Anolis sagrei: one gene and its partners. The protein of the gene in region 1 interacts with the protein of each later gene in a pairwise test. Links are inferred from orthologs where the notes say so. Each region holds a gene or a part of one and is shown on either strand. Other genes may lie near its edges.

The links.
Region 2: the proteins of DMRTB1 (region 1) and QKI interact in a two-hybrid assay, tested with the Homo sapiens proteins (2 studies listed by BioGRID). The link is inferred for Anolis sagrei from reciprocal best matches to the Homo sapiens genes DMRTB1 and QKI.
Region 3: the proteins of DMRTB1 (region 1) and IL16 interact in a two-hybrid assay, tested with the Homo sapiens proteins (2 studies listed by BioGRID). The two-hybrid records come from large-scale screens. The link is inferred for Anolis sagrei from reciprocal best matches to the Homo sapiens genes DMRTB1 and IL16.
Region 4: the proteins of DMRTB1 (region 1) and SLAIN1 interact in a two-hybrid assay, tested with the Homo sapiens proteins (2 studies listed by BioGRID). The link is inferred for Anolis sagrei from reciprocal best matches to the Homo sapiens genes DMRTB1 and SLAIN1.

What each region holds. Positions count from the first base shown.
Region 1 is NC_090024.1:172,926,004-172,934,096, forward strand, and holds the start of DMRTB1 (doublesex- and mab-3-related transcription factor B1), read right to left. Parts: upstream 3,104-8,093; coding exon 2,689-3,103; intron 944-2,688; coding exon 708-943; intron 1-707.
Region 2 is NC_090021.1:66,442,460-66,449,892, forward strand, and holds the start of QKI (KH domain-containing RNA-binding protein QKI), read right to left. Parts: upstream 3,005-7,433; 5' UTR 2,321-3,004; coding exon 2,179-2,320; intron 1-2,178. UniProt on the Homo sapiens protein: RNA reader protein, which recognizes and binds specific RNAs, thereby regulating RNA metabolic processes, such as pre-mRNA splicing, circular RNA (circRNA) formation, mRNA export, mRNA stability and/or translation.
Region 3 is NC_090029.1:33,443,076-33,450,287, forward strand, and holds the start of IL16 (pro-interleukin-16), read right to left. Parts: upstream 3,057-7,212; 5' UTR 2,466-3,056; exon of another isoform or gene 2,422-2,465; intron 1-2,421. UniProt on the Homo sapiens protein: Interleukin-16 stimulates a migratory response in CD4+ lymphocytes, monocytes, and eosinophils. Primes CD4+ T-cells for IL-2 and IL-15 responsiveness. Also induces T-lymphocyte expression of interleukin 2 receptor. Ligand for CD4.
Region 4 is NC_090023.1:127,617,451-127,625,422, forward strand, and holds the start of SLAIN1 (SLAIN motif-containing protein 1), read right to left. Parts: upstream 3,045-7,972; 5' UTR 2,822-3,044; coding exon 2,373-2,821; intron 1-2,372. UniProt on the Homo sapiens protein: Microtubule plus-end tracking protein that might be involved in the regulation of cytoplasmic microtubule dynamics, microtubule organization and microtubule elongation.

The DNA of each region.
Region 1 (8,093 bases):
CTGAGGCTGTTAGGAATTGTGGGAGTTGAAGTCCAAAACATGGAGGACCGAAGTTTGCCCATGTGTGGTTATGGGACCAGGCCTTTGGGCACTCTGGCAATTAAATAAGATAATCAGGCGAGTAAGACCAACAGGATTGATGAAGTGGAACGGAAAACTAGAACTATGAGTTAGCGAACGCTGACCATGTAGGAGGAGGAATTGGGTTTGTATTAGTTTTATTGATTTTATGGTTATAATGCATGAATTGTTGTCAACTGTGAATTGATGTAATTTTGTGTGTGATTGTTTTGTGATGTAGGCATCAAATTGTGCCTTTGCTTTTGTAAGCCGCCCTAAGTCCCCTTCGGGGTGAAAAGGGCGGGGTAAAAGAACCCCGAAATAAATAAATAAATGCCTGGTGTAGACTCATATAATGCAGACTGAACTGCACTGAACTGGATTATATGAGTCTACACTATAATATAATCCAGTTCAATCTGCACAAAACTTGTGCAAAAAAAAGAGAGAAAGATTTGTCTTAAAGATGTGTCACAGGTTCCCCCTTCTTTTTGTACTCTAAGTCACTAATGTACTTTAACCCTTTTAAGCTATTCAAACTATTAATGTTATTGTCACTATAATAACTAAAATAGCAAGGTCATGTATCCCTGCAACCAAGGGAAAGCTGTTTAAACAAGTGCTAATGTTTAAAAAACATGACTTACTGGTACAGGAGTGAAGTTCCCTGGCCCGTGACTGCTAGGAAAGTGTCTGTAACCTGCTTGCAGGGGTAGGACAGGGCCATGCGTTGGGCCTCTGTAGCCAGGTTGGTTGATGGCAAATCCCAGAGGAAATGGATGATAAGGATACACCCCAGAGTATCCAGGGTACACTTTGGGAGGCTCTCTTTCCAGAAACTCTGGACACATTGCTGCACATTCCTGAGGCACAGTAGGATGGTCTAGAATAAAAACAAAATAGAATGTCTAGGTTGGATACACAGTGCTCATCAACTATTTTCTGCAAGGATGCATAGAAGATTACTATATAGTTTAGTTCCTCCAAAGTGTTGTGTTCCTAGAATACAGTTGGCATTCCACATGTGAGGGCTTAACTTTTGTGGATTTGATCAATATGTTTTCTGCAGGAATTTCTGAGGTGTCCAGTGCAACTCTACTTGATTAACATTTTCTCAGAGAATCTCTAAATCCAGTCAAAACTGACATAAAATTATCTTGGAGGGCTAGAGAGTCCTTGGAAGAGTATTTCTCTAAGCATTGCGGTGCCTCCAATGCAATTCCATGTTGAACTTAATCATACAATCTTGCTGGAGGACCAAGAGATTCTGTTCCCTTCTACACTGTCATATAATTCAGATTAGAAAAGCAGATAATCCACATTATCTGCTTTAAACTGGATTATATGTGTCTATACTCCCATATAATCAAATTCAAAGAAGATAATCTGGATTTATATGACATTATAGAAGAAGCCCAGATTTCAAAATTATATCCTTATGATTTAAGAAAAAAAAATACTACTCCTCAGCTAACTAAATTTAATATGTTTTAAGTTTTTATTAATATTTTTTTTAAAATCCTTACATCCAACAGCATTTGAAATCATTAAATTAATTATAACACTTGTGAAGAAATACAGATCGCTGTAGACTCTCACACCCCATCCACACTGCCATTATAATGCAAATTGAACTACATTATATGGTCATATAATCTAGTTTGATGCAGTCAAACTGCATTATATGATAATATACTGACCATGTAATGCAGTTCAATCTGCATTATGATGGCAGTGCAGAAAATCCCTCAGGTTCTGTCTAAACTGCCAAATAAAATCCACATTATCTGCTTTGAACTGGATTATATGGCAGTGTGGACTCATATAATGCACTTCAAAGCAGATAATGTGGATGATCTCCTTTGATAATTTGGATTATATGGCAGTGTAGATCCAGCCTGAGTCCACTTTCTCTGCTGTATATTTTATTGTACTGCTCAGACACAATGTAATTCTGATATTTTCCCCCCAAACACATCTACATTCTCCACTTTCAATGCTAGCTAGCTAGCTCTCTCTCTCTCTCTCTCTCTCTATCTATCTATCTCACTAATGATTAAATTCAAGTTCTAGGCTAAAGCCTGACTGCTGTCATTGCTTTCTTAATACTTCATAAGTACTGTTATAATAAGTTCTGCAGTGGCTTCCTATTTCATGTGCAGTGGCTTCCCATTTTATGTGCAATAGCTGCAAAATGCTCCTGCTGTGCATGGTGCTTCCTCTAAAATACAACATTATTCCGAGTCTAGATATGTTTTCTCACCAGTGTTATAGATCTCTTGTTAAATCTTGTTGCACAGAGCCAGCTGCAACCCATTTCACTTGTAATACAAAGCTTGCTGAAAAAATAGGACTTTGCAACAATGAAACATGGACAAATAGCCTCCAGAACCGAAGTTCTGCAGCTACAAAGTGCTCAAGCAGGATATGGAAGCTACCAACAAATGAATGAATAGGAATAACTTTTTTCAGGGAAAGAGCAATCCCCAACAGCAGAAAATGCCAGTTACCAACTTTCAGGACAACTGTATTCAAGTCCATGTAGGAAAGGTAAGCATTTGCAATGGAGAGAAACAATGCCAATGGATGTATTTATGGTTGCAGAAAAACTATAGATGGTGTACCTACCTAAATCTATGAAGGTTGGAGAGCTAGGTTTTGGTGGCATTTGGTCAGGCACCATCCTGGTGGGTTGGTCAGGTGCAGAGGTCACCTTAGCCTCTTCATGCCCAGCAACATGGGGCTCAGAGGTGTTTTTCCTGGAGCTCTTTTTACTTCCAGCTGCGGTCCCATCCATTTCATCATTGGGGCTGCAATGGACAGAGGGCAGTGCCTCCCTGGGCGGTGAATCTGGTCCTTGCCTCTTCAAGGCCTTCTGAGCCGCCATGATCTTCTGCCGTTCAGTGATCAGGGCACACTTCTCACAAGGGCAGTGCTTCCAGCGGCAGTAGCCGGCGTGACCTTTCACTGGCACCACAAAGCCATGGTTGCGACAGCGAGAGCATTTGGGGGCTCGGATCTGAGCTGCATCTGGAGACTCCATGAAGGCAGCTGACTATAATCATGCACCACTGCTGGAGTGAGGAAAACCCTGGGCAGAAATCTGCTCTTGCAGTTTGCAGAAAATGGTTACAATGTGGCAGTTAAAGCCTGGGGTTTAGAATAGACAAAGTTCTTCACACTGGAGAATGAAAGGAGAAAGAAAAGTGTGCCTGCTGACCATCCAAGTTCAGTAGTCCTTTCCAATAGGACTTGTATTTTGTAAAAAAAAATAAAAATTAAGAGTTCTCTATGTAGCAAGACTGTATTTTGAAAAGCATTGACACACTGTGTTCCCACTTCCAAGGCTTTGCAAGGTATTCCTGAACTTGAACATTTTGCTTTATTCCAGAAAGGTTGGTGTTTTGTGTTTTGGACTTCCTACAAAAGAACTCAAAAGAGGAAGAGCTTTGTAAAGAGGAAACTGCGGCCCTTTCTACACTGCCATACAATCCATATCAATACATATCAAAGCAGATAATACACATTATCTGCTTTGAATTGTATTATATGAGTCTACACTCATATAATATAATCCAGTTCAAAGCAGATAATCTGGATTTTATATGACAATATAGAAGGGGCCCGATCTAAGGAAATGAGTAACTCTGTGCTTCAACATGAATTTGAAGAAGGGAGGCATTATTGTAATTGTTTGTGGAGAGTATTCTTTGGGCACATCTATACTGCAGAATGAATGCAGTTTGACACCACTTTAGACCTCATCACAGTAGAGAATGAATCCACTTTAAACCTGGTTGCTAGCTCCTGCAGAATTCTGGGGTTTGTAGTTTAGGGAGGAGCCTTTAACAGTCTCACTAGTGTGATGAACTGCCATCCATGGCCAAAAGCAATGGCATCTTGAGATCTGTAGTTTGGTGATGTGCCAATAGTCTGTGGCAGGGAAAGATAAAGATTTTGTAAAACTACAGCTCCCATGCTTTTATTGCATTGAGCCATGGCAGTTAAACTGGTGGCAAACTGCTTTCATTCTATAGTGCAGACTGCAGGCAGGTAGCATAGTAGATGCCTATGCAGGTCCTCTCAAAATGTTTAGTTTGGATTAGACACATATGGTTAATTTAAACTTTGCCTACAGTATTTGCATAAATTCTAAATTGTAGGCAGTGATAAACTTAAAACATTTAACAAATGCTGAACTATATTAGGCTTCCTTATTACTTTCAGAATTTTTGATTCCTGGAATTTAATTTCAGAAAACATTATATGGATCTTGGTCTATTTCTCAGTATAAATTAGCACTTGTAACAATACAATTTCCATTATCACCTTCAGCATTTTAGGAGACAGAAGGTATGGGGTGATTTGTTGCAAAAGGCATCAATCATCCTTCATCTCTAGGGCAGGCTGAGACAGATTCCCCAGTACTTTTATTATTCTTAGATCAATTTCTAATATTACATATTTGCAAAAATAAGAAATGTTTGCATATCTTGATACAAGTGTATATCTTGTGTTCATAAAGTTAATAATATGAAAACAAATTTGAACGAATAATGAAGTATGTTGTTTACAGTAGATCAGGCAAATATGATATTTGAGTCAGTTTTCTGTTTTTGATAGAGTCTGGGTCTTGCTGAGTTCACGGTTTGACAATTTTGGCAACATGATTTAACATAATTCAATCATACATACTGAGGATTACCTGGGAAGGAAGCTCACAGGAGCACTGCAGCACACCCAAATACCTGGGAGTTACCCTGAACCATGTTCTGACCTACAAGAAGCACTGCTTGAACATCAAGCAACAAAAGCTAAGTGGCACGACCTGGAGATCACAACCAGATACAGGGAAGACATCTGCCCTTGGCTTTGCTACTCTGCTGCTGAGTACGCTTGCTCAGAGTGGAACATAACTCACCACGCTAAAACAGTGGATGTGGCTCTTAATGAGACATGCTGCATTATCACAGGATGTCTACACCCTACACCACTTGAGAAATTATACTGTTTAGACAGTATTGCACCACCTGACATCCGTCGGGAAGTAGCAGCCAATAATGAAAGGACCAAGGCAGTGACATCTCCGGCCTATCCTCTGTTTGGATATAAGTCAGCATGCCAATGCCTCAAATCAAGAAACAGTTTTCTAAGATCTACAGAGATACTTGCAGGAACACCTCAGCAAGCAAGAGTCCAAAAGTGGCAAGCTAAAACTCAGAACCTCAATCCATGGCTGATACCGAACGAGAGACTTCCTCCTGGGCACACAGAAGACTGGGCGACTTGGAAGGCGCTGAACAGACTGTGCCCTGGCACCACGAGATGCAGAGCCAACCTTAAGAATTGGGGCCACAAAGTGTAGTCCACGACATGTGAGTGTGAAGACGAGCAAACCACAGACCACCTACTACAATGTGGTCTGGGTTCTGCCACATGCAAAATGAAGGACCTTTTTATAGCAACACCAAGGCACTCCAAATGGCCAGCTACTGGTCAAAGGACATTTAATATAATACAAAGTTTTTAAACTTTGTGCTTTTAAAATATATTACAACTGTACCCTCGGTTCTCTTCTGATACGATAAATAAATAAACCATACATATAATATTAATTCAACTAATTTGTTTAATTACAAGAAAGAAATCCCCAAGTAGCTTGTAGTGGTTCTTTATAAAGCGCCACTGAATAGGCAAGGAATGTATTCAGTGACTTACAAAGCATGCCAGATGTTAATCTCTAAAATATATTCCTACAGTGTTTCAATGTTTTGCAAAATTAAAGAAAACTGAGAATGTGCCCTTTGTTCTTTAATTATTTCTATTTTCCCTTTTGTTCAGATCTCACAGGTGATTTTATCTCATTAGAGAAGATTCTTCCAAACAAGGAATAATGTTCCCTTATTTAAAATGCCTTCTTTTTCAAGTGATTAAAAAATCCTCTAGATTATTAATATTCCAGGAAAAAAATTATTGGAAAGAGAATAGTTTTAAAATCAAAATATGGTAACATACTGCATTAAAAACAACTAATAAAGCATGCCTTTACATAGATACAATATCACTGAATTTACAAAAATATTATAGTGTGCACAATAGTTTGTGAGCAGTCCAATGCTATGCATTGTATTCTGGGTTGTAACAACATATTATGTGAGTAGAAGATAGACTAACAGCCAGTGCAGTGTATGGTTTAAGAGTTGGACAACTGGAAACCAGGGTTTGAGGCCCCATCCATGTTAGAGCTACACTGCCATATAATCCAGTTTATAGCAGATAATCTGGATTTTATATGGTAGAGTAGATGGGGCCCCACACTGCTATATAACATTCAGATTGTCTGCTTTGAACTGGATTATATGGCAGTGTAGATCCAGCCTGAATCTTCACTTGGCCATGAAAACTCACCCTGGTGATCCACAATCTCTCAGCCCCCAAAATTCCATGATTGGGTCACTTTAGGGATGCTATAAATTAGAAACGACGTGAAGGCACAAGACAAGTTACAAGGACACACTTCCATTTTTGGTAGATCTTGTGCCCATGGAATTCCACTCGTTTGACAGCTTAAAAAATTTAAATGGTTTCTTATCAGCATTTAAATTTAACAAGTGTCAAGGAAATTTCTCACCGTGGTCACACTATAGATATAGACTCCCTTGGATTTTTCCAGTTACATCACTTTTCAGGCATACTTAGAATCTATCATCAGTCTACAGTCCACAAAGTATGAACTGGTTATTAACATTCTTGGAAAGAGTGGGGAGTGTTAATGAATAACAAAACAATTATGATAAAATAGAAGGAAGATTTTTACAAAATCTAGCATTAACACATACAATTCTTAAAAAATCTTCACATTATAGTGAAATTATAACAGTATAGTAAGCAAACTGGCATGATGCTACATTAACTTTCTTTAATCTAAAAGTCCAATATAGACATGAAACTTGCTGCATATTCTCTGTGGCATTCAGTGCTATCCAGAGATGTAGATTACCAATACATTAAATCTATCAGTTTGCAGGCCATGGCAAAGGCAACTAAAGGTGCATCTGTAGTTTGACACCACGTTAACCGCCATGGCTCAATGTTGTGGAATCATGGGAGCTGTTGTTTTACAAGATCTTTAGCCTTCTCTGCCAAAGAATGCTGGCTTCACACCTAAACACACCTCCCACGATTCCATACCATTGAACGATAGCAATCAAGTGATGTGAAATTGCATTAATTCTACAGTGTAGATGCACCCGTGGCTATCTGCTAGAAGTCTATATTTTGTCAGTTAGGCAGATCCATGTCTAAAACCATGCATGTGTACACAAAAAGAGAGTTTGGTTCATTACAATTCTTGTACTCGTCTTGCACTGCTATGAAACATGGGTGGGGAGCAGGAACAAATAGTATCTTGAAAAGCTTTTAATTGCCCAAATATAATCGTTAAGCACTTATTTGCCACAAAGCATTAAATGTAAAGGAATTTTCATCATTTTGGCTGGCCTTGACAATCAAGAGATAAGGCAGATATTTATATAGCTTTAATGTACTAATGAGAGCTCCACAACACACACACTCTTTTCATTTTATCTTTTGTGTGTGTAAACAATATTATGTTTCTATATTTAGTTTTTATTATAAGGTATAACAATAAAAACTATTATTAAAATTTTATTTATTTATTTATTTCATGCACTTTTACCCCGCCCTTCTCCCCCCAAGAGGGGACACAGGGCGGCCTCACATAAGCACCAAATGATGCTATAGAATCATAGGATCCTAGAGTTGGAAGAGACCTCATGGGCCATCCAGTCCAACCCCCTGTCAAGAAGCAGGAATATTGCATTCAAAGCACCCCTGACAGGTGACCATCCAGCCTCTGTTAAAAAGCTTCCAAAGAAGGAGCCTCCACCACACTCCGGGGCAGAGTTCCACTGCTGAACGGCTCTCAGTCAGGAAGTTCTTCCTCATGTTCAGATGGAATCTCCTTACTTGTAGTTTGAAGCAATTGTTCCACGTCCTAGTCTCCAGGGAAG
Region 2 (7,433 bases), on another chromosome or scaffold:
ATAAAATTTCCAGGATGTTTTTAAAAAATTAAAAACAACTTTTAAGTAAGACCTCCAACGCCAATTGGCCAAAAAATGATCTTTCTTCTGCCCAAACTACTACTAGTAAAAAACAAAAAAACAAAAACAATATGTCACTTCATAGATTGTCAGTTCTTTGTAATAGAAAATGACTAATCCTGCCCATGATTTGGGAATGGAGAATTACACCAATTCCTATAATCACAAATATTTGTGAATATATAACTTTAGCCCTTAAACTCATTAAGTCCTAGCTCTTTAAAAGTTTTGGCATATTTCTTGGTTTTGGCTTAAAGGCTCACAATGCAATCCCTACACTGTTACAACTGTTTTCCAAAAAGAAAGAACTGGCGCCCCTTAGTGTTCAAATATTAAAACATTTACCTCATCCACTGAATTTGCATGGAACATTTTTTCAACATTCCAGAAAGTTTTCAGCATATGCAGTTCTTCCACCCAGGAGCCAAAATAAACAGGAAAAGCAAAAAAGATTTAAAGGGGCAGTTGAACTTTCCCTTCAGGCTACCAAGAAAAGAAGAGTGGAAGAAAAAAAATAAGGATGGAACAAAACCAGATATAACTGTTTTGCTAGATTAACTTCCAATCTTTGTTTTGGACTTTTGAAAATAATACAAGGCCTGTTCATTCAAAGACTTTCAGAGCTTCAGGGGCATTTTAAAGGAACAATGACCTCACACATTCCATTTAAAATAGCCCTTTGGTACAATAAACACACCACTCTTTTGATCTTGACAAAGTTGGTCAGTCTTCTTTCCCAAATCAAACCAATTGTTCAGGAACTTCAAAAATTCATTGTTCATGCCTGTGTTTAATCGATAAAAATTATGTTGTATTGCTTATTTTGTAATTCAGAAAGTATTCAAAAGAGTTCTTTCAAAGAGATCCCAACTAGTCAGTGTTATCCAAACAGAATGTGGTCTGGAAAAAAAATCAGTCAAGGGGCACCTCACAACTATTTGGTAAATATGTTTTCAGCGGAAATATGTCATGGGATCAGTCAAGTCTATGAAGAATTCTGTATAGAATTACTCTCTTCCAAAAAAAAAAATCTAAATACTCAGACTAGGATCAAAACTGAATGTACACAACCACCCACATCTACATGGTAAGACCAAAACTCAATGTGCACAACCTCCCACGTCTACATGATAAGTTCAGCCACAACGCCCTCAAACTGAGGTCTGAATTCCCAAAAAACGATTTGGATTGAAGACTTAAAACTCAACCTGGTCCAAGAGAACATAATCACCATGAAGTCTGGAGCTTCCATGTCCAACCTATTTAAACATAAAAAACTCCTGAAGCTTGTTAGTAGTACTCCACAAAAGTGGCCTCTTGCAACTAACTCCACAGGGTGGGAGGCAGGCGGTGGGGAATCGGATAGTTGGCTTGGGATGAGCAGTGAGGATTCAGCAACCTTTCTGCGTTAGCTTTTTGGCACCAGAAATCGAGAACTTTCGAGTGAAGAGGCTTCAGTGTAAAAACCGAATGGAGAAGTTGGGTCTGTTTACTCTCAAAAACTTCAACCACTTTTTAGTCCAAACTGCCCGGTAGGGACGAGAGCCGAGCCCTTTCCACTTCCTGCCACCCCCTTTTTCTCCCTTCCAAGCCAATCTGAAACCAAACAAACAAAGGACACCCCGAGATCCCTTTCTGGACGTTGCAAAACTCACTCGCTTAACCAACACTGCTGTAAATCACGCCACTCGGCCTACTACTACTACTACTACTTAGTTGCGTCCTATGTGGAGTCTCAAAACTCTCCCCAAACTATCTCTCCCCTCGGCCTTTTTATAAAAAGGGCTACCTTAAGTCTTTAAAACAAGAGAACCGCGCCGAAGGGCCGAAGAAAGCCTCGCCTTCACTCCCTCCCTCAAAGGCCAAAACTTCTCGCCGAGAGAGAGAGAGACTTCCCGCTTCGTCTCTTTGTTTACGGGGAAGGAGGCAAGGCCAAAAAAGAAAGAGAGCAAAGAGGACGCCATTGAAGGGGCCAAAAAGAGGAGACACATTTTTTTTCACCGTGTATCCTCAAGGCCTAAGTTTTGTTTTGATCCAAAATAAAGAAAAGAGCGTGGTTTAAATTCGTGTATTATGATTATTATGATTATTATTGTGGCGGTTGTTGTTTGTTTTTACCTTCGTCCAGCAGCCTCTCGAGGTGGTTGAATATCCCGCAGAAGTTGGGGAGGCTGCTCATGAGCTTCTTGTCGTTCATGAGCTGCATCAGGTAATCGGGGCTGGGCTTGGGCTTCTCCTTGGTTTCCATTTCCCCCACCATATTCCCAGCGCGGCCGGAGAGCGAGCCGGGCGCCCGCAAGCCACACTCGCACTCGCCAGGCGGGAGAGGCCTCTTCCCCCCTGGAAGAAAAAGGAGGCGGGAGGAGGAGGAGGGGGGAAGGAGGGAAGGGGAGGAGGAGGAGGAGGAGGGACCCGCGGCCAGGGAAAGCACGGCGGCGGCGGCGGCTGCTCCTGCTGCTGCTCCCGGCGAGGAAGAACCAGAACAAGGAGGCGACTCCGACACAAACGGCGACACCGCGGAGGGGGCTGGGCGACCGCCACCCAAGCCTGCTGCCGCCGCCTCCGCCTCCTCCTCCGCTTGGATAAGGATCCCCGGCCGCCGCTCCCGCCTTGGAAGCCTTTCCTCCTCGGTGTCGTGCCGCTTGCCCGCCTCACTCGCAGCAGCCGAGGCGCCCGCTCCTCCTCTTCCTCCTCCTCGGCGGCGGAGGCGGGCTTGTCTTCGCGAAGAGTCCCCGCCGCTGTTTGTAAGGCTGTTTGTAAGGCTGCTCCCGGCCACCGGCGCTGCTGCTGCCGCTGCTGCTCCTTCTTCCGCCGCTGTTGCTGCTGGTGTGGTTCTGCTTGTGCCGCCGCCTGCCTGCCTGCCTGCCTTCCCTCCCTCCCCTCCCTCCTCCCCTCTTCCCCTCTTCCCCTCCCTCCCTCCTCCTCCCCTCCGCTGGTGCCGTTTGCTGGTCGCTGGCGAGCCTCAGCCTTTCCGACCACTGCCACTGCCGCCGCCGCCTCCTTCTTCGTCTTGTTCCTCCTCCTCCTCCTTCAGTTCGCTGTGGAGTTCGCTTCAGTTCAGGCTGCGCTGCTGGCGGCGAGGGGAGGAGGAAAAGGAGGAGGAGGAGGGGGGGGAGCGCCGCCGAGGAGCAGGGGCGGGGCGGCCGTTAATCAGCCCTTGGCGGCGGCCCTTGGCGGACTCGGAGCCCTCGACTCCGCCCCGCCCCTACGGGGGGGGGGGAAGGAAAAAGACTTGGGGGCTCTCTCTGGCGCCGCCGAGAACGGGAAAGCGCTTCACTTGTGAGGAGAACCACGACAAGAAGGTGGTGGTGGCGACGGCGGCGGTGGTTCTTCTCCGCGCACGCGCACCAGGACAGCACACAGAAATTTCCTTTTTTCACATATATATCTATCTACGCTTGTGGTGGGTGTTAAGGAGCCGGATGGGCGGGCGCGCGCACACATATCCGAAAAGAACGTTGGTTTGAAAAAAGAAAAAAAAAGGGCTCGTGCCGCTATACCTCGGATATAGTACTACTCGCTACGACGCGCGAGACGGCGCCTGTTGATACGCGCCTGCGCGAGGGCGCGCGAAGGAATGAACATTTCCCCCCCACCACCACGTTCCTCTATCTCCCCCCCCCCGCAACGTCCTCGCGCGTGCCTCCCTCCCTTCCCCATTTTTATTTATTTATTTAGAAACTCCTCCGTTAACACACATACACACAAAAAAACTTCAACCAATCTTGCGTTTAAGGCGGGACCGCGTCACGTGTTGCCAAGCTCCTGAAAAAAAAGGGAGGAGGGAGGAAAAAGGAAAGAGTCCTAATCGTAGATCGTTTTTGGTTTTTTTACTATTAAAGCGCATGCGCTCAATAAAGTCTGTTGGCTTGGCTTTTTTTTTTTAGACGGGGGGCGCGCGCCTGCCTGCTTGCCTGCCCGCCCGCGCGCCTCCAACGGTCTCGCGCCCTTCCTCCTCTTGGAGGTGTCGGAGGAAAGGAATGGGAGGGGCGGGGCCGAAGCTCGCGCACGAGCGCCTGCGCAGTAGGTAGGGAGAAAGGCACGTTCAAGAGGGGGGGAGGGGGGTTTGCCTGGCGGAGGAGTCAGTCGGTTCTGTTCCTGGAAGGAAGGAAGGTGCTCTCGCCTCGCCTTCGGTCTTCCCTTCCGCTTCTGAGGGGAAGCCCCGACAAGTACCGCCGCCCGCCACGCGTTTCCCCTTCTTGGGCTCCCTTCCTCGCCTCACCACTCGACCCAGGCCCGCTCTCTCTTCCCTTCCGTTTGCTTAACGCTCTGAGGAGGAAGGGAGGGCGAGGAAAGCCGCGGCTGGCAAGGCGAGGAGGAGGCTTCGGCTGCCATTCTGGAGTCAACCCCGCCGAATACATCGAACGGAACTTCCTCGGGAGTAAAGGGGATTCCTCAACTCCTTGTGGTTCCCTCCTACGACACAAGCGCATCAGGGCAGGCAGATGTAGAAACCAGGAGCCAGATTTATGCCTTCGTTCACACGAAGCCTGATTCTGCACTGTGGAATGAGTGCACTTTGACACCACTTTACCGCCATGGGATCGTGGAGGGTTGTAGTTTTGGCAAGGCCTTGGCCCCGCCAAACAGTGTCGGCGCCTCACCGAACTACAACTCCCACGATTCCATAGCAGTGAACCCCGGCAGTTTAAAGTGGTATCAAGTTGGGTTATTGTGTATTTTTCTGGCTATGTGGCCATGTTCCAGAAGCATTCTCTCCTGACCTTTCGCCTGCATCTATGGCAGGTATCCTCACAGGTTGTCCTTAAATATTTATTTATTTATTTCGGGGGACTCAGGGCGGCTTACAAACAGGCACAATTTGATGCCTACACAATAATACAATAAACGTATAAAAACAGCAGTTAAACGGTTAAACAATTAAAACAACAATATATGTCACAGTCAATAGCCAATCTCAACCAACTCAGATTCCATACTTCGTTCCACATTGTCTGTTCCTATCCGCCGTCGCAGTCCTTTATTTATCTGCCAGAGTGCCCAAACGCCTGGTCCCACATCCATGTTTTTAATTTCTTTCTAAAGGAAAGGAGGGATGTCGCTGATCTAATTTCCTCGGGGAGTGAATTCCATAAGTGAGGGGCCACCACTGAGAAGACCCTGCTCCTCGTCCCCGCCAATCTCACTTGTGACAGGCGGAGCTGAGAACAGGGCCTCCCCAGAGGATCTCAAACTCCGAGGTGGGACATAGAGGGAGATGCGTTCGGACAGATACGCTGGGCCGGAACTGTATAGGGTTTTGTAGGTCAAAACCAGCACTTTGAATTGTGCTCGGAACTGGATCGGCAGCCAGTGGAGCTGACACAACAGGGGGGTGGTATGCTCCCTGTATGATGCTCCAGTGAGCAATCTGGCTGCCTCCTGCTGGACTAATTGAAGTTTCCGAACAGTCTTCAAAGGCAACCCCACATAGAGTGCATTGCAGTAATCTATCTGGGATGTAACAAGAGCATGGACCACCCTGGACATTCCACAGATATATAAACCCCACTTGCGAAGTTCCCAACATCCGTCATAACCTCTGAGGATACCTGCCATAAATGTGGGAAAAACATCAGGAAATAATGCTTCTGGAACATGGCCATACAGCCCAGAAAACTCACAACAACTCACAGTGATTCTGGCCATGAAAGCCTTCCACAATACATGGTGTCAGATTGTACTCACTCTGCAGTGTAGATGCACCCTGTGTGCGCGCCTTCAAGTCTCATCCACTTAGGGCAGTGGTTCTCAACCTGTAGGTCCTCAGATGTTTTGGCTTACAACGTCAAGAAATCCCAGCCAGTTTACCAGCTGTTAGGATTTCTGGGAGTTGAAGGCCAAAACATCTGAGGACCACTTAGGGAGACCACATACTTCAGAGGGGTGTCAAGCATGAAGGACCCGGGGTTGCTTTCCCAGTCTCTTGCTCTCTCAAACATAGTATTTGCTGGTGGCCTTCCATCCAAGTATGAGCCAGGGTTGATTTTGCTTAACTCCCAAGGCCACATCCTCTTCTATCTGGTGCCTTTACGGCAGGCATAGGCAAACTTGGGCCCTCCAGGTGTTTGGGTCTTGAACTTCCACCATTCATAACAGCCTCAGGCCCTTTCCTTTCCCTCCTGAGCTGCTTAAGCGGCTGAGGAGGAAAAGGGAAGGGCTTGCAACTATTAGGAATGGCGGGGGTTCAAAACTCCTGGAAGGAGGGCCCAAGTTTGGCCATGCCTGTTTTAGGGTGCTTAGCATGTATCTTTGCTGTAGAATTAATGCGATTCAATGCCCCTTGAACTTTGAAAGAGTCATGGGAGTTGCAGTTTTAGCCTTCTCTGCTAGAGTGCTTGTGCCTCAGAAAACTACAATTCTTCTGCCCCCATATTGAGCCATGGCAAATAAAGTGGGGTCAAAGTGTGTTAATCCTGCAGTGCAGCCTCAGGGCTGGATCTACACTGCCATATAATGTAGATTCAGAAAGCAGATTAAATCCATTCAATGGTATTGTATGAATCTATACTCCAGTATAATCTAGTTCAATGAAACTGCATTATATGGTGGTGTAGATCCAGCCCCGGGATCCCAGCAGGTCGCCCCTCTCTTGCCACATCATCTTCTATCTGGTGATATATATATATAATATGGAACCTCCAGTGGCGCAGTGGGTTAAACTGCTAAATTTGCTGTCCGAAAGGTTGGTGGCTAGAATCCTGGGAGTGGGATGAGCTCCTGCTGTTAGCTCCAGCTTCTACCAACCTAGCAGTTCGAAAACATGCAAATTTGAGTAGATCAGTAAGTACTGCTTTGGCGGATAGGTAATGGCGCTCCATGTAGTCATGCCGGCCACATGACCTTGGAGATGTCTATGGATAACGCCAGCTCTTTGGCTTAGAAATGGAGATGAGCACCATCCCCATAGTCGAACTCGACTAGACTTAATGTCAAGGGGAAACCTTTCCCTTTATACACACACATTATCACAATGAGCTGATCCTCAAACTGTCAGGATCCTAGGACTGTTGTGCTGCTTTTGCTCGTTTTAGCCCCCATCCCTCCTTTCTTCATCTCTGCCTGCATCCTTCTCTCTCTCTCTCTCCCTCCCCCTTGAATTCTTCCTTTGTCTTTCTTTCCGGCGCTTAAAAGCCCAGCGACAGCATCAGTGCCGGGGGTTCACTTTCAAATATGCTCTTGTTTGCACTATATCTGAGCTAGGAAAAACAGAAAATCTGTTCCGCCTTTCTTTGCCTTTTTTTTTTGTTTTGTTTTGTCAGAGGGGGATGCTTGGTCGCTGCAGAAACATGCGAAGCGGATTGCACTTGGCTGGCCCGACTCATTTCCTTTTCCCGTCATTGTGGAAATGTGTTATCTCTACCCAGATTTTG
Region 3 (7,212 bases), on another chromosome or scaffold:
TAGTGCAAAAAACACTTAAAAACAATACAATAATTAAAATGAAGAACTAGTTTAACAAATATAAACTTATTAGTATTTCAGTGGGAAGTGTAGGTCTGCTTTTGGATGATGAGATAGGATTGTTGTTGTGTGCTTTCAGGTCGTTTCAGACTTAGGTTGACCCTGAGCGAGGGCCGGGTAAATGACCTTGGAGGGCCACATCTGGCCCCCGGGCCTTAGTTTGAGGACCCCTGATCTGTCTGGTCCTGTCTTAAAGGCCTCAATCAAACCTCTTTGTTTTGGTTTTGTTGTTATCTCCCTCCGCTTACATCAGTGGTTCTCAACCTTCCTAATGCCGCGACCCCTTGATACAGTTCCTCATGTTGTGGTGACCCCCAACCATAATATTATTTTTGTTGCTACTTCACAACTGTAATTTTGCTGCTGTTATGAATCGTCATGTAAATATGCAGGATGTATTTTCATTCACTGGACCAAACTTGGCACAAATACCCAATATGCTCAAATTTGAATACTAATGGGGTTGGGAGGAGGGACTGGTTTTATCATTTGAGAGTTGTACTTGCTGGGATTTACAGTTCACCTACAATCAAAGAGCATTCTGATCTCCACCAATGATGGAACTGAACCAATCTTGGCACACAGGACTCCCATGGCCATCAGAAAACACTAGCAGGGTTTGGTGGGCATGGATCTTCAGTTTGGGAGTTGTAGTTCATCTACGCCTGTGGACTCAAACAATGATGGATCAGGACCAAATTTAGCACAAATACTCAATATGCCTAAATGTAAACACTAGTGGAGTTTGGGGGAAATAGACCTTGGCATTTGGGAGTTGTAGTTGCTGGGATTTATAGTTCACCTACAATCAAAGAGCATTCTGAACCCCACCAACAATAGAATTGGTCCTAACTTTCCACACGTAACCCAGATGACCAAGAGAAAATACTGTGTTTTCTGATGGTCTTTGGCGACCCCTCGGACACCCTCTCGCGACCCCCCCCCCCCCCCGGGGTCCCCACCTTCAGGTTGAGAAACACTGGCTTACATGATATAATAATAATAATAATAATAATAATAATAATAATAATGCATCAAGCTACTCTGGAACTTCTGAATTCAGACAGACAGAGTTTTGGAGCAGAATTCTTCTGACCTCACGATTGTGTTAAAAAACTAAGTATGGATTGTTAATTTTGCTATGCCAGGCGACAGCAGGATTGAAGAGAAACAACTGGAAAAGCTGACACCATATGAGGATTTAAAGATCGAACTGCAAAGACTCTGGCACAAGCCAGTCAAGGTGGTCGCAGTGGTGATCGGCACACTGGGTGCAGTGCCTAAAGACCTTGATCTGCACTTAAACACAATCGGCAATGACAAAATTACCATCTGCCAGCTGCAAAAGGCCACCTTACTTGGACCTGCACGCATTATTCGCCGATACATCACAGAGTCCTAAACACTTGGGAAGTGTCCAACGTGTGATCCAATACAACAGCCAGCAGAGTGATCTTGTCTGCTGTGGACTCATCTTGTTGTGTTTCAAATAATAATAATAATAATAATAATAATAATAATACTCCTAGACCCTTGGGAAGTGTTCAACTTGTGATTTTGTGATACGAAATCCAGCATATAGATCTCGCATGCTGTGACATACTGTGCTTTTGTGTCAATAATAATAATAATATTCAGAATATAGATCTCATTTGCTTTGACATACTGTGTTTTTGTGTCAGTAAAATAATAATAATAATAATAATAATAATAATAATATATTGATGATTTACTGACATGTTCTTATTGTTTTTTCTTTGATTTTATTGCTGTTAATGTTTTTAAATTGTACTATGTTTTTGTGGCATTGAATTTTGCCTTGTAAACTACCTCAAGTCGCCGGAAGGCTGAGAGGGGCGGTATACAAATAAAGTAAATAAATAAATAATGTAAATAAATAATTATTATTATATTGTAATATAATAATAATATTGTATTATTATTATTATTAATTATTATTATTAAACTTTATTTGTACCCCGCTAGCATCTCCCGAAGGACTCGATGTGGCTTACAAAGGCCAAGGCCTCAACACAACAACAGCATGACAAATACAACTCAAAGCAAATCAAAAACATAAGGCAATAACAACAATTAGATATTATTTATACCCCGCCACCATCTCCCCGAAGGGACTCGGGGCAGCTAACATGAGGCCAAGCCCAAATAATTACAATAAAGCAAAGTACACACAAAACAGATGATAACAGATGGTGGTAGCAGATTTTTCCCTTCTTCTCGCTCTCACCTTTAAAAACCTGGATTTTTCAAAACAAACAGACAGAGCACCAATATCAGTTAGCAGCACAAACTGTACTGGACATTTGCCATTTCAAGGTCACATTCAGCAGAGGTACTTACCACCTTTGAGAAGGCCAAAATAGCTTTGTGTTTCATAGCTATGCCTTGGTTATGAAGGAAAACAAATGCTTGATGCTACAGGCAGCTATGCATCCCGCTACGACATCCCACTACGACATTTCCACAGGTTTTTGGAAGTTTTTGAAGTTTTGTATTGAAAGGCAAAAAGACGTCCAGCCCGCCCAAAGTTTCACGTAGTTCAGTGCAACATCTCAAGACAATCTTCTCTTTCTTTGCTTAGTTTGGTTTTTCTAGGCCGGATGGTTCAGGCGGCGCAGCATCTCTGCCTGCCATTCCTCTTGCTGGAGAGGCCAAGGAGCAAAGGAGATGTGAGTTTACCAAAGCCCCCACTGCTGAATTGCTTCTCCTTCATCACAAACACAAATTGAAAGTCTGAATCTCCCCTTTGAGCTTCTCCTGACTCGCCTTCCAAAGTGTTGGCGGCAGGGAGGGGAGTCAGCCCAAGTGTGCCAGGCTTTTTTCTTACACACACATGGAAAAAGTGTTCTACTGTTTGGATAATCCTCTAACATCCATGTCTTTCCACTCACTGGCGGACTGGCCGCTCCGATGTTTATGTAATTGCATGGTTCACTTCCAATCCAGCACCTCAGACCCATTTGCCCAAGGTTGCAATGAAATGATTCATTTATGGCTCTTTTTTCCAAAAGCGGGGAAAGCCGGGAGAGAGAAAGAGGGGAGGGGAGCCTTAACACACTGGGGTTGTTTAATCCTTGATGAAAATGCCTTTCATAGGAAGTTGTGTTAAAAGCAATCAGGAAGACGTTCTTTTGTGCCTGAAAATCTGTAAAGTGAACAATCACAGGGGATCACAGAAGATAAAAGCAGGATACAAATCTATATAAATAAAAATGTAATGTTCGTTTGTGGGATTGACATAACTCAAAAACTACTGGATGAATTGACAACAAATTTGGACACAATACATCTCTCAGGCCAACGAGTGACCATCACTCATAAAAACACTGAAAAACACAGCAGAAGAGACATAAAAAGCCAAAAAAAACCTCATTACAATGCATGTGCAAAACCACATATATACACAAACACACATATACACACACACATATATGCATATATATATATATGTACACAAAACAAATATATACACAAACCAGGCCACAGCAGTGTGTGACAGGGGATGGATAGTGATTCATAAAAACACTGAAAACACAGTGGAAGAGACTTAAAAGCCAAAAGAAAAAAACCATTACAACGCATGCACAAAACCACATATATACACAAACACACATACACACACACATATATATGCATATATATATACACAAAACAAATATATACACAAACCAGGCCACAGCAGTGTGTGACAGGGGATGGATAGTGATTCATAAAAACACTGAAAACACAGTGGAAGAGACTTAAAAGCCAAAAGAAAAAACCCATTAAAATGCATGCACAAAACCACATATATTCACATACATAGACACACAAAACACATACACAGACTGGGCCACAGCAATGCATGGCAGGGGATGGCTACTCTATATAAATAAAAATGTAACGTTGGTTTGTGGGATTAACATAACTCAAAAACCACTGGACAAATTGACAACAAATTTGGACACAATACACCTATCAGGCCAACGAGTGACCATCACTCATAAAAACATAGAAAAACACAGCAGAAGAGACATAGAAACCCCAAAAACCCATTACAATGCATGTGCAAAACCACATATATACACAAACACACATATATACACATATACACAAATATATATATACACACATATATGCATATATATATACACAAAACAAATATATACACAAACCGGGCCACAGCAATGTGTGACAAGGGATGGCTAGTTATTCATAAAAATACTGAAAACACAGTGGAAGAGACTTAACCCCCCCCCCCAAACCCATTACAACGCATGCGCAAAACCACATATACACATACATAGACACACAAAACACATATACACAGACTGGGCCACAGCAATGCGTGGCAGGGGATGGCTACTCTATATAAATAAAAATGTAATGTTCATTTGTGGGATTAACATAACTCAAAAACCACTGGACGAATTGACACCAAATTTGGACACAAGACACCTCTCAGGCCAATGAGTGACCATCACTCCTAAAAACACAGTGGACGCAACTTTAAAAGCCCAAAAATAAAAATACATTACAATGCATATGCAAACACACGTATATACACATATACACAAATATATACACATATATACACAAAAAAAGCACATAGACACAGGCTGGGCCACAGCAACACATGGCAGGGGAAAGCTAGTAAAATTAAAAAAAAAAACCATAATAATATGTTGTCAAAGGATTTCATGGCTGGAGTCACTGGGTTGCTGTGAGTTTTCCGGGCTGTATGGCCATGTTCCAGAATAATTATCTCCTGATATTTTGCCCACATCTATGGCAGACACCCTCAGAGGTGGTGAGTTCTATTGGGAACTAAGTAAGTGAGGTTTATATATCTGTGGAATGTCCAGGGTGGGAGAAAGAACTCTTGTCTGTTGGAGGCAAGTGTGACTGTTGAATTGGCCACCTCAAATCAAATCAAATTATTTATTTTGGTCCTAGACCAGCACAAGAAATAAAAGTCAAAGTTTCATACAAACTTGGTACATTTGTTGTTGTTGTTGTTCATTCGTTCAGTCGTCTCCGACTCTTCGTGACCTCGTGGACCAGCCCACGCCAGAGCTCCCTGTCGGCCGTCACCACCCCCAGCTCCTTCAAGGTCAGTCCAGTCACTTCAAGGATGCCATCCATCCATCTTGCCCTAGGTCGGCCCCTCTTCCTTTTGCCTTCCACTTTCCCCAGCATAATTGTCTTCTCTAGGCTTTGCTGTCTCCTCATGATGTGGCCAAAGTACTTCAACTTTGTCTCTAGTATCCTTCCTTCCAGTGAGCAGCCGGGCTTTATTTCCTGGAGGATGGACTGGTTGGATCTTCTCGCAGTCCAAGGCACTCTCAGCACTTTCCTCCAGCACCACAGCTCAAAAGCATCGATCTTCCTTCGCTCAGCCTTCCCTATGGTCCAGCTCTCACATCCGTAGGTTACTACAGGGAATACCATGGCTTGGACTAGGCGGATCTTTGTTGCCAGTCTGATGTCTCTACTCTTTACTATTTTATCGAGACTGGACATTGCTCTCCTCCCAAGAAGGAAGCGTCTTCTGATTTCCTGGCCACAGTCTGCATCTGCAGTAATCTTTGCGCCTAGAAATACAAAGTCTGTCACGGCCTCCACATTTTCTCCCTCTATTTTCCAGTTGTCAATCATTCTTGTTGCCATAATCTTGGTTTTTTTGACGTTCAGCTGCAACCCGGCTTTTGCGCTTTCTTCTTTCACCTTGATTAGAAGGCTCCTCAGCTCCTCCTCGCTTTCGGCCATCAGAGTGGTGTCATCTGCATATCTGAGGTTGTTAATGTTTCTTCCAGCAATTTTCACCCCAGCTTTGCATTCATCAAGCCCCGCACATCGCATGATGTGTTCTGCATACAAGTTAAAAAGGTTGGGTGAGAGTATGCAGCCTTGCCGTACGCCTTTCCCAATCTTGAACCAGTCTGTTGTTCCGTGGTCAGTCCTTACTGTTGCGACTTGGTCCTTGTACAGATTCCTCAGGAGAGAGACAAGGTGGCTTGGTATGCCCATCCCACCAAGAACTTGCCACAATTTATTATGATCCACACAGTCAAAGGCTTTAGAATAGTCAATGAAGCAGAAGTAGATGTTTTTCTGAAACTCCCTGCCTTTCTCCATTATCCAGCGGATATTGGCAATCTGGTCTCTCGTTCCTCTGCCTTTTCTAAACCCAGCTTGAACATCTGGCAACTCTCGCTCCATGTATTGCTGGAGTCTTCCTTGCAGGATCTTGAGCATTACCTTACTGGCATGAGAAATAAGGGCCACTGTACGGAAGTTGGAGCAGTCTTTCGCATTTCCCTTTTTTGGTATGGGGATGTAAGTTGATTTTTTCCAGTCTGATGGCCATTCTTGTGTTTTCCATATTTGCTGGCATATGGCATGCATCACCTTGACAGCATCATCTTTTAAGTTTTTAAACAGTTCAGCTGGGATCCCGTCGTCTCCTGCTGCCTTGTTGTTAGCAATGCTTCTTAAGGCCCATTCAACCTCACTCCTCAGGATGTCTGGTTCTAATTCATTCTCCACACCGTCAAAGCTATCCTCGATATTGTTATCCTTCCTATACAGATCTTCTGTATAATCTCGCCACCTTCTCTTGATCTCTTCAGCTTCTGTTAGGTCCCTGCCATCTTTGTTTCTTATCATACCAATTTTTGCCTGAAATTTACCTCCAATGTTTCTAATTTTCTGGAAGAGGTCTCTTGTCCTTCCTATTCTGTTGTCTTCTTCCACTTCCATGCATTGCTTGTTTAAAAATAGTTCCTTGTCTCTTCTGGCTAACCTCTGGAATTGCGCATTTAACTGGGCATATCTCCCCTTATCCCTGTTTCCTTTTGCTTTCCTCCTTTCTTGGGCTACTTCCAGTGTCTCAGCAGACAACCATTTTGCCTTCTTGGTTTTCTTTTTCTTTGGGACATACTTTGTTGCCGCCTCCTGAACAATGTCGCGGACTTCTGTCCATAGTTCTTCTGGGACTCTGTTTACTAAATCTAGCCCTTCAAATCTGTTCTTCACTTCCACTGTATATTCGCTAGGAATGTTAGTGAGATCATATCTAACTGGTCTGTGTATTTTCCCTGATCTCTTTAGTTTTATTCTAAATTGAGCAATAAGAAGTTCGTGATCTGA
Region 4 (7,972 bases), on another chromosome or scaffold:
ATGTGCAAACAACAATAATCCAGGTTGTGAGTTTTCCGGGCAGTATGGCCATGTTCAGGGAGCATTCTCTCCTGACATTTTGCCCATATATACGGCAGGCATCCTCAGATGTTGTGAGGTCTGTTGGAAACTAGGCAAGTGGGGTTTATATATCTGTGGAATGTCCAGAGTGGGAGAGAAAACTCTTGTCTGCTTGAGGCAAGTGTGGATGCTGCAATTGGCCACCTTGATTAGCATTGAATGGCCTTGCAGCTTCAAAGAGACAAGAGTTCTTTCTCCCACCCTGGACACTATTCCACAGTTATATCAGCCCCACTTCCCTAGTTTCCAACATGCCCCACAACCTCTGAGGATGCCTGCCATAGATGTGAGCAAAACATCAGGAGAGAATGCTTCTGGAACATAGCTATACAGCCTGGAAAACTCACAGCAACTTGTGATTCCAGCCATGAAAGCCTTTGTCAACACAAAAACAATATGAATTAGTATTATTTTTTTAAAAGAGGCATACTAGGAACACTTAAAAAAAAGAAGAAGAAGAAGCCTTAGATAAATATCAAACATGGCTTCCTCATCTCAAAAAAACAACCAAATGAAATCAGCACTCTTCTTTATTAGGATGCGTTGATTTTTTTTTTACAGGCAGCTCCCAATTTATAACTATATCACAGTCAGAAACAAGGTGTGTTGTGTCAATTTTAAGAATAGGTCTCATTGGCAGAAGACAGGAGGAATGACTGGCAAGAGCGGGGGAGGCAAAAACAAAGCATAATGGAGAACCAAACCACTTCCTCTGGGCTGTACTTCAATCACGACAGCTGCTTTTTTAAAGGGACAAGAGGGTTGGAGAGATGGCAATTGTCAGTCAATATGCCATGGTGCAGATAGGCAGCTGGGTATTGCGACCAGGCCTGGGCAAATTTGCCCTTCCTCCGGGTGCTTTGGACTTCCACAACAGCCTGAGGCCCCTTCCTTTCCCCCCTCAGCCGCTTAAGTAGAAAAGGAGAAGAAAAGGAAAGGGTCTGTGGCTGTTAGGAAGGGTGGGAGTTGAAGTCCAAAACACCTGGAGGGCCGAGGTTTGCCCACGCTTGGCCCAGAATCTCCCCTTTCCCTTCTCTCCTGCCCAATGCATCCCTCCGAGGGGAGCTATTAGCCTTAAAAAGGGCCCGGATTCAATCGCTTTTCCTGAGGCAAATCAAGACTCCGCCCGCATTGAGAGGAACGACAGGCTGAAGGCTGAAGGGGGAGAAAACGCGGGAACACTTCGGAAAGCGGAGGAGAGAGGAGGAGGAGGAGGGTAGCGAGGAAGGCAGGGAGAGCGAGAGAGGCATGCAATCCAAGCGGGGCCCCCTTTTGTTGAGTGTCTGAGGCCTGGGTCCCCTTTGTGCTCCTTGGCTCTGGAAAAGAAAGGCGCCCCCAGGAAGGCCCTTGGCTTCCCACGCAGCGGAAGAAGGCACGGCCTCGCTGCGGCGCCATCCATCACCCCCGCCACCGCCAAGGCCGCCTCCTCCTCCTCCTCCTCCTCCTCCTCCTCCTCCAGAGCGCAACAAGCAGCCCAAGGGTCGCTGGCCACAGTCCTGAAATCCCGCCACGAGGAGGAAGGGAAGGAAGGAAGGGAGCGCACTGCGAGAGAGAGAGAGAGGGGGGGGGGAGGGGGGAAGGAAGGAAAAGGAAGAGAGGGAAAGGAGAGAAGGGAGAGAAGGAAAGGAAGGGAGGGAGGGAAGCGAAGAAAGGGAGGGAGGAAGGGAAGTGAAGAAAGGAAAGGAAGACAGGGAGGAAGGAAGAATACGGAAGGAAGGGAAAGGAAGGAAAGGGGGAGGGAAGGGAAGGAAAGGGAAGGAAGGATACGGAAGGGAGGGAAAGGAAGGAAGGGAGGGAAATGGAGGGAGGGAGGAAGAGAAGCGGAGGAAGGGAAGGAAGTGAGGGAGGGAAGGAAGGAAAGGGGGGAAGGAAAGGGAAGGGAGGGAAGGAAGAAAAGGAAAGCAGGAAGGGAAAGGAAGGGAGGAAGGAAGTGAGGAAGAGGGAGGAAGGGAGGCGAAGAGAGGAAAGGAGGGAAGGGAGGAAGGAAGGGAACGAAAGGAAGGGAAGGAAGGGAAGCGAAGAAAGGAAAGGGAGGAAGAGAACAGAAGGAAGAGAGGGAGGGAAGCCTCTGCTTCCACAGCCCACCCCCTCAGAATCTGCACTATCCCCCCGCCCCCACCACCACCCCTGAAGGGCGCCTCCCAGACCACAGGGCTTGGCTGTGCGGGGCTGGCCTCTCCCCCCCCCCCCCAGACCTCGAGGGCTCCAAAGGGCAGCGAAGGGGTCTCCTGCCAATCAGGGAGGGAGGGAGGGAGGGGTGCCTCCACCCGGGTCCCTTCCTCCTCACTCACCAGGTCTCGGCGTCCCTCTCCTGGCGCTCCGCCCGCAGGTCCAGCACCTCCACCTCGTCCAGGAAGGTGGCGGCGGGGAGGGGGCCCTCCGGGGACGCCCTTCCTCCCCCTCCCCCTCCTCCTTCTCCGGGCGAGGGCTTGAAGTAGACGAAGGGCTCCCCGCTGGGGCTGGGGCTGAGTGCCGGGGGCGAAGCGGCGTTGGCGCTGGCGGGGAGCGGGTGCTGCTGCTGCTGCTGCTGCTGGGCCTGGAGGGAGGAGAGGAGCAGCTGCTGGAGCGGGGATCCGGCGGCGGGGCCCGGGGGCGAGGCGGAGGCGCGGCTGCGGAGCTGCTCGTTCTGCTTCTCCAGCTTGCGCACCAGCTCCTGCAGCTTCTTCACCTCCAGCTCGGCGCTCACCGCCCCGCCGGGCTTCACCTCGGCCGCCAGGGGCTGCAGCAGCGCGGCCTCCATCCCTCCCTGCCTCCTTCCCTCCGCTGCAGGAGGAACAGGCCTCCCCGCAAAAGGCCGCTCTCCGTCTTCCCGGCCGCGGATGGATTGGCAAAGGCAGGCAGGCAGGCAAGCAAAACAGGCAGGCAGGCAGGCACACAATGGGAACAAAGCCGGGCGGGGAGGCGCCGAGGGGCCGCGCGCGCAGGAGGAGACGGGAGGGGAGCGAGCGAGTGCGCGAGCGAGGGGCGGGGCCTGCCTGCCTATCTGCCCGCGCGGGGCAGGGAAGGGGCGTGGCCAGGGAGAGAACGCCACGCCCCCTCCCCCCTCCCTCCCTTGGAAGGACTTTCCCCCAGACTTTGAAAAGATCAGGAGAGATGCCAGGAAGGAAGGAAGGAAGGAAGGAGGGAGGGAGGGAGGGAAGGAAGGAAGGAAGGAAGGAAGGAAGGAAGGAAGGAAGGAAGGAAGGAAGGAAGGAAGGAAGGAAGGAAGGAAGGAAGGAAGGAAGGAAGGAAGGAAGGAAGGGATGCTGAGGAGGACTCATTGTGATGTCACGCGAGCAGGGGAAAGGATGGAGGAGGTGGCCATGGCTAGGAGGATGCGGAGCCTTTCCTGCAGGCCTGGAGTCGGGAGAAGGGGGAGGTATAAGGATTTCACCACCACCCCCCAAAAATATTTCAGGTTAAAAAAACTTATTTACTCATGAATTTTAACTGGTTAACAAATTCATGAGTAAAGCGGGGGTTTTTTTAACCTGAAACTTTTGGGAAAATGGCATTCATAACCTTTTTGGAAGGGAAAAATGATGTCATATCCTTTTGTCAAATGTGAATCTCCATGAACACCTCGAGACCACCTTTCGAAAACCACTAGTCAAGGAAAGGCTTGCCCTTGTTTAGAACTCAACCCTTTGAATAAGTGATGTTCACAAGTATTCATGTAATGGCACACAGGTAACTTGGCTGTTAAACTGATAAACCAAGCCTTTGAACTTCCAGGGACAAAGACATGCCACTGCACAAAAAAACATATACTTAGCCAGCAGAGTTTTGAAAATGTTTCATAACCTTTTTGGAAAGGATGTCATATCCTTTTGGCAAATGTGAATCTCCATGAACATCTGGCGACCACCATTTGGAAACCACTAGTCAAGGAAAGGCATGACCTTGTTTAGAATTCAACCCTTTGAATAAGTGATGTTCACAAGCATGTAATGGCACACAGGTAACTTGGCTGTTAATCTGGTGAACCATGTCTTTGAACTGCCAGACATGCCACTCCACAAAAAACCAATACTTAGCTAGCAGCGTTTGAAAATGTTTATTTGAATTTGAATTTGAAATTGCAGTTGCCCAAAACATATACTCCTCTTTGAAACCTCTTAGTTTAAAATATGTGCTCAGAGACAAAAAAAAAATCTTCTTTAAAAGACAACATACTTTGTTTACTCACAAACAGGAATTCAATCCATTCTACATGTATTGATTGGGGGACTAGGATATCAAGGAAAGACTGGGGGGAATTGGATCACCACTCTCACCCCAATACCCTTCTTCCTTCTGTTTTCCTAATATCTCCCTTCCTCAACTGGGAACTACATCATAGAGTTGGAAGAGACCTCTTGGGCCATCCGGTCCAACCCCTGCCAAGAAGAAAGAAAATTGCATTCAAAGCACCCCTTTCATGATATTGTGTTGGATGCTGTTTAAGGTTGGCTTTGGGACTTCAGGGCTGGTTGCTCAATGGTTAGCTCTCTGGTGATACAGTTGAGTACACATGCTGTTTACTGCCAAGTCGTGGACAACTGAAATGGACCTTCATTAAGCTTGACTCAAGCTGTGGCCACCAAAAATGCTCAGTCTCTTTTAGTTATAGACAAAGAGTTGGGGTCTGTATGGTATTCCAGGCAGAGGATGGACACTCATTCCCTACATGCACATTTCATTGCCCGAGCATGGGTAAATGCGTATTCTCAACACACACACACACAACTCAGCACATTCACATTCCTCAGCCAGTGGGTGCTTGTGGGTTGAGCAGGGAGCACCAGCCCACTCAGTCAATCCAGCAGTTATCTGAGCATTGCATAACCCAGACATGGGCCAGCTTCGGTCCTCCAGGTGTTTTGGACTTCAACTCCCACAATTCCTAACAGCCAGTAGGCTATTAGGAATTGTGGGGAAGTCCAAAACACCTGGAGGGCCCAAGTTTGCCCATACCTGCCATAACCTCACCTTAGCATCTTGCTCATCCATCACTATCAACAGCAGAAATCACATTTTCTTCCTCTCCTTGACTAAAGGAAGGGAAATGTGGAGGTGGTCCCACCAGTTTAGAAGCATCAGAGGAAAATAGAGCCACAGGTTGTCCATTCTTGTTTTGGGGACTAAAAGCCATTCCCAGTTTTGTTGTTCCCTTTGGCGCAGTGAGCAGTATCCAAGTGAACTCCTTAGCAGTACAGTTCAATGATGGTGTTTGAAACCCAAGTGAGAAAAGGCCCTTCCCGATGGGAAGATAAAGCAATGCTTGATTTAAATGAGACAGTGTATCCACTTACTCAGTGATAAGCCTCATAGAGATGAATGGAATTTCTGATCAGATCGGTACATACATTGGTAAAGTTTCACTACAAGTCGATTGCACTCTGTTGTTCTGTGCCTTCAAGTCGACCCCAACCTATGGTGACCTTATCATAGGGCTTCCTTGGCAAGAACTGTCAGAGGAGGTTTGGTGTTGCCTTTGTCTGAAAATATAGCCTGCGGCAAAAGGTATTCCTTGGTGACCCCACATCCAAGTATTAAGCGGGTCTGACCTTGCTTAGTTTCCAAGATCAGAGAAGATGCGGTGCCTTCGGGGTATGTCAGCACTCACTGTAATCCACAAGGCTTCAGATATTCATAGCTAACTTCTCTCTTTGTTTTCCATGGTCTTAATTTATTTGGAAAACTCATAGTTAAAACAGGTTTTTGCGGTATATTTCTAGTCTTGTGATAGTGATTTAATAGCAAGTTATACCTGTAAAAATAATTTTTCCACCAAATAATCCATCAGAAATGGAATGCTGGGAGTTTACTTTCTCACATTTTTAGGCTGGGCTACATCAGCCTTTCCAAGACTTAGACAAAATCTTATGTTAGTCCCACTCTGTTATGCCAGCTCCACTGGCTGCCAATCCAATTCTGAATACAATTCAAAGTGCTGGTTTTGACCTACAAAACCCTATACGGTTCCGGCCCAGTGTATTTGTCTGAACGGATCTCCCTCTACATCCCATCTCGAAATTTAAGATCGTCTGGGGAGGCCCTGCTCTCGACCCTGCCACTATCACAAGTGAGGTTGGCGGGGACGAGGAGCAGGGCCTTCTCAGTGGTGGCCCCTCACCTGTGGAACTCACTCCCCGGGGAGATTAGAACAGCGACTTCCCTTTTGGCGTTCAGAAAAAAATTGAAGACCTGGATATGGGACCAAGCTTTTGGATATTCTGGCAGCTAAGGAAAGATCGGACGATAAACAAGGGCGAACGGAATAGAATGGATAAACGGACTCTGAACACTGAGCATGAGATTGTTTTGCTATTTTACTATGTATTAATGTTTTTAACTTGTTAATCGTTTAAAATGCTTTTATGTATTGTTTGTTTATTGATTTAGGCATCGACTTGTGCCTTCGTTTGTAAGCCGCCCTGAGTCTGGAAACCAATTATTCTAAATGACTAAGAAATCATTTTTGGACTATTAGTTTTATTTGCTATGTTTATAGATGCTTATTGATTTATTGTATACTAGGCGTCCCCTGCCACGTGTTGCTGTGGCCCAGTCTGTGTATATGTGTTTTGTGTGTGTATATTTAAAAATTAAATAAATCATTCCTGCTGGCTGGAAAGGATGGGAATTGTAGTCCCAGCACCTCTGAAGGTTTGAGGAAGGCTGGATTAGACGGTATTCAGAGCCTTCAAAGCTTAAATATCTCCATTTGGTGCTACACAAAGAAGTAGGCGGCACCTCTGCTACTGCGCTACAGAATGCCATCCTGGAAAGAACACAATAAACCATATAATTAGAGCCCCAAAACTGCTAGTTTGGGGATTGTGATTATGCAAATTTAACACTGCAAAAAATGCAAAGCGTCAATATAGGCTGATTTTTTAAATAATTGGTAATCTGAATGAAAGCTGCACATGTGCTTTCAATGCCCAATCATTTTGGAGAAAGGGTTCCTCTTAATTGGTATATATTAGGTGTAACAATTCCACCATGAAAGCAAGGAAACACTGGGACCATCACAGACTCTCGGGCTCTAAAGCTTCATTCCCATGATGAGCAAAAGTCAAAACACGGGAAATAAATAAATAAATAAATAAAATTAGAATGAGGATGATGATCATGTTTATTTATAAAATGCTTTTTATTTAAAAACACGGACAATCCATTAAATATGATTTCTATAGAGATCATCTGCAAGGATGTATATTTCCAAAAAGCAAATGCTGTCCTGCTGCTCAAAGGATATTTGCTCAGCATTGTCCTACAGAGTCTGCTTCTTCCAGACTCAGAGGAATATCCTAAGATCCTATTGCAATTTACTTCCTTCATATTTTGCTCATAACCTCACTTGTTTATATCTCCCCTTGAATGCCAGCTTTTATGCAGCAGAATTGCTGAATGTTGGTAAGGAGCCATCTTGTTTTTCTTTCTCTAGATGAATGTCAGTGGTTGCTCACAACTGGATGACTGTGAATAAGGTACTTAGAGCAGTGTGGCTTACTATGTGTTTGCTCCATCATTGCTCTTTTTCTCTTAAATTTCCAGGAGGATATGGCTATCTGGATTCAAGAAGGGATTCATGTATCTTTCATAGAAGGGATGGCTTCCAAATGTCTTGTAGGAGGCACTCACAAACCTCTGCTTTTGGAACAAGTAATGTGTACCTTTCCCTTCAAATCTCTAATGAAAAAAACACATCAAATGTGCACCTCCTATATTTTATTAGACTAGAACTGCTAGTATCCCTCACAATAGGCTATACTAGCTGTGGTGAGGCTTAGTTCCAATCAAGAACCTCAGGAAGGGAATACAGACAGTCCCCAAGATAGGGTCTGTAGGTTTGTTCTTAAGTTGTATTTGTATGTATGTCAGACCCAGAAGGGTCATGGTGATGTAGTGGGTTAAATCACTA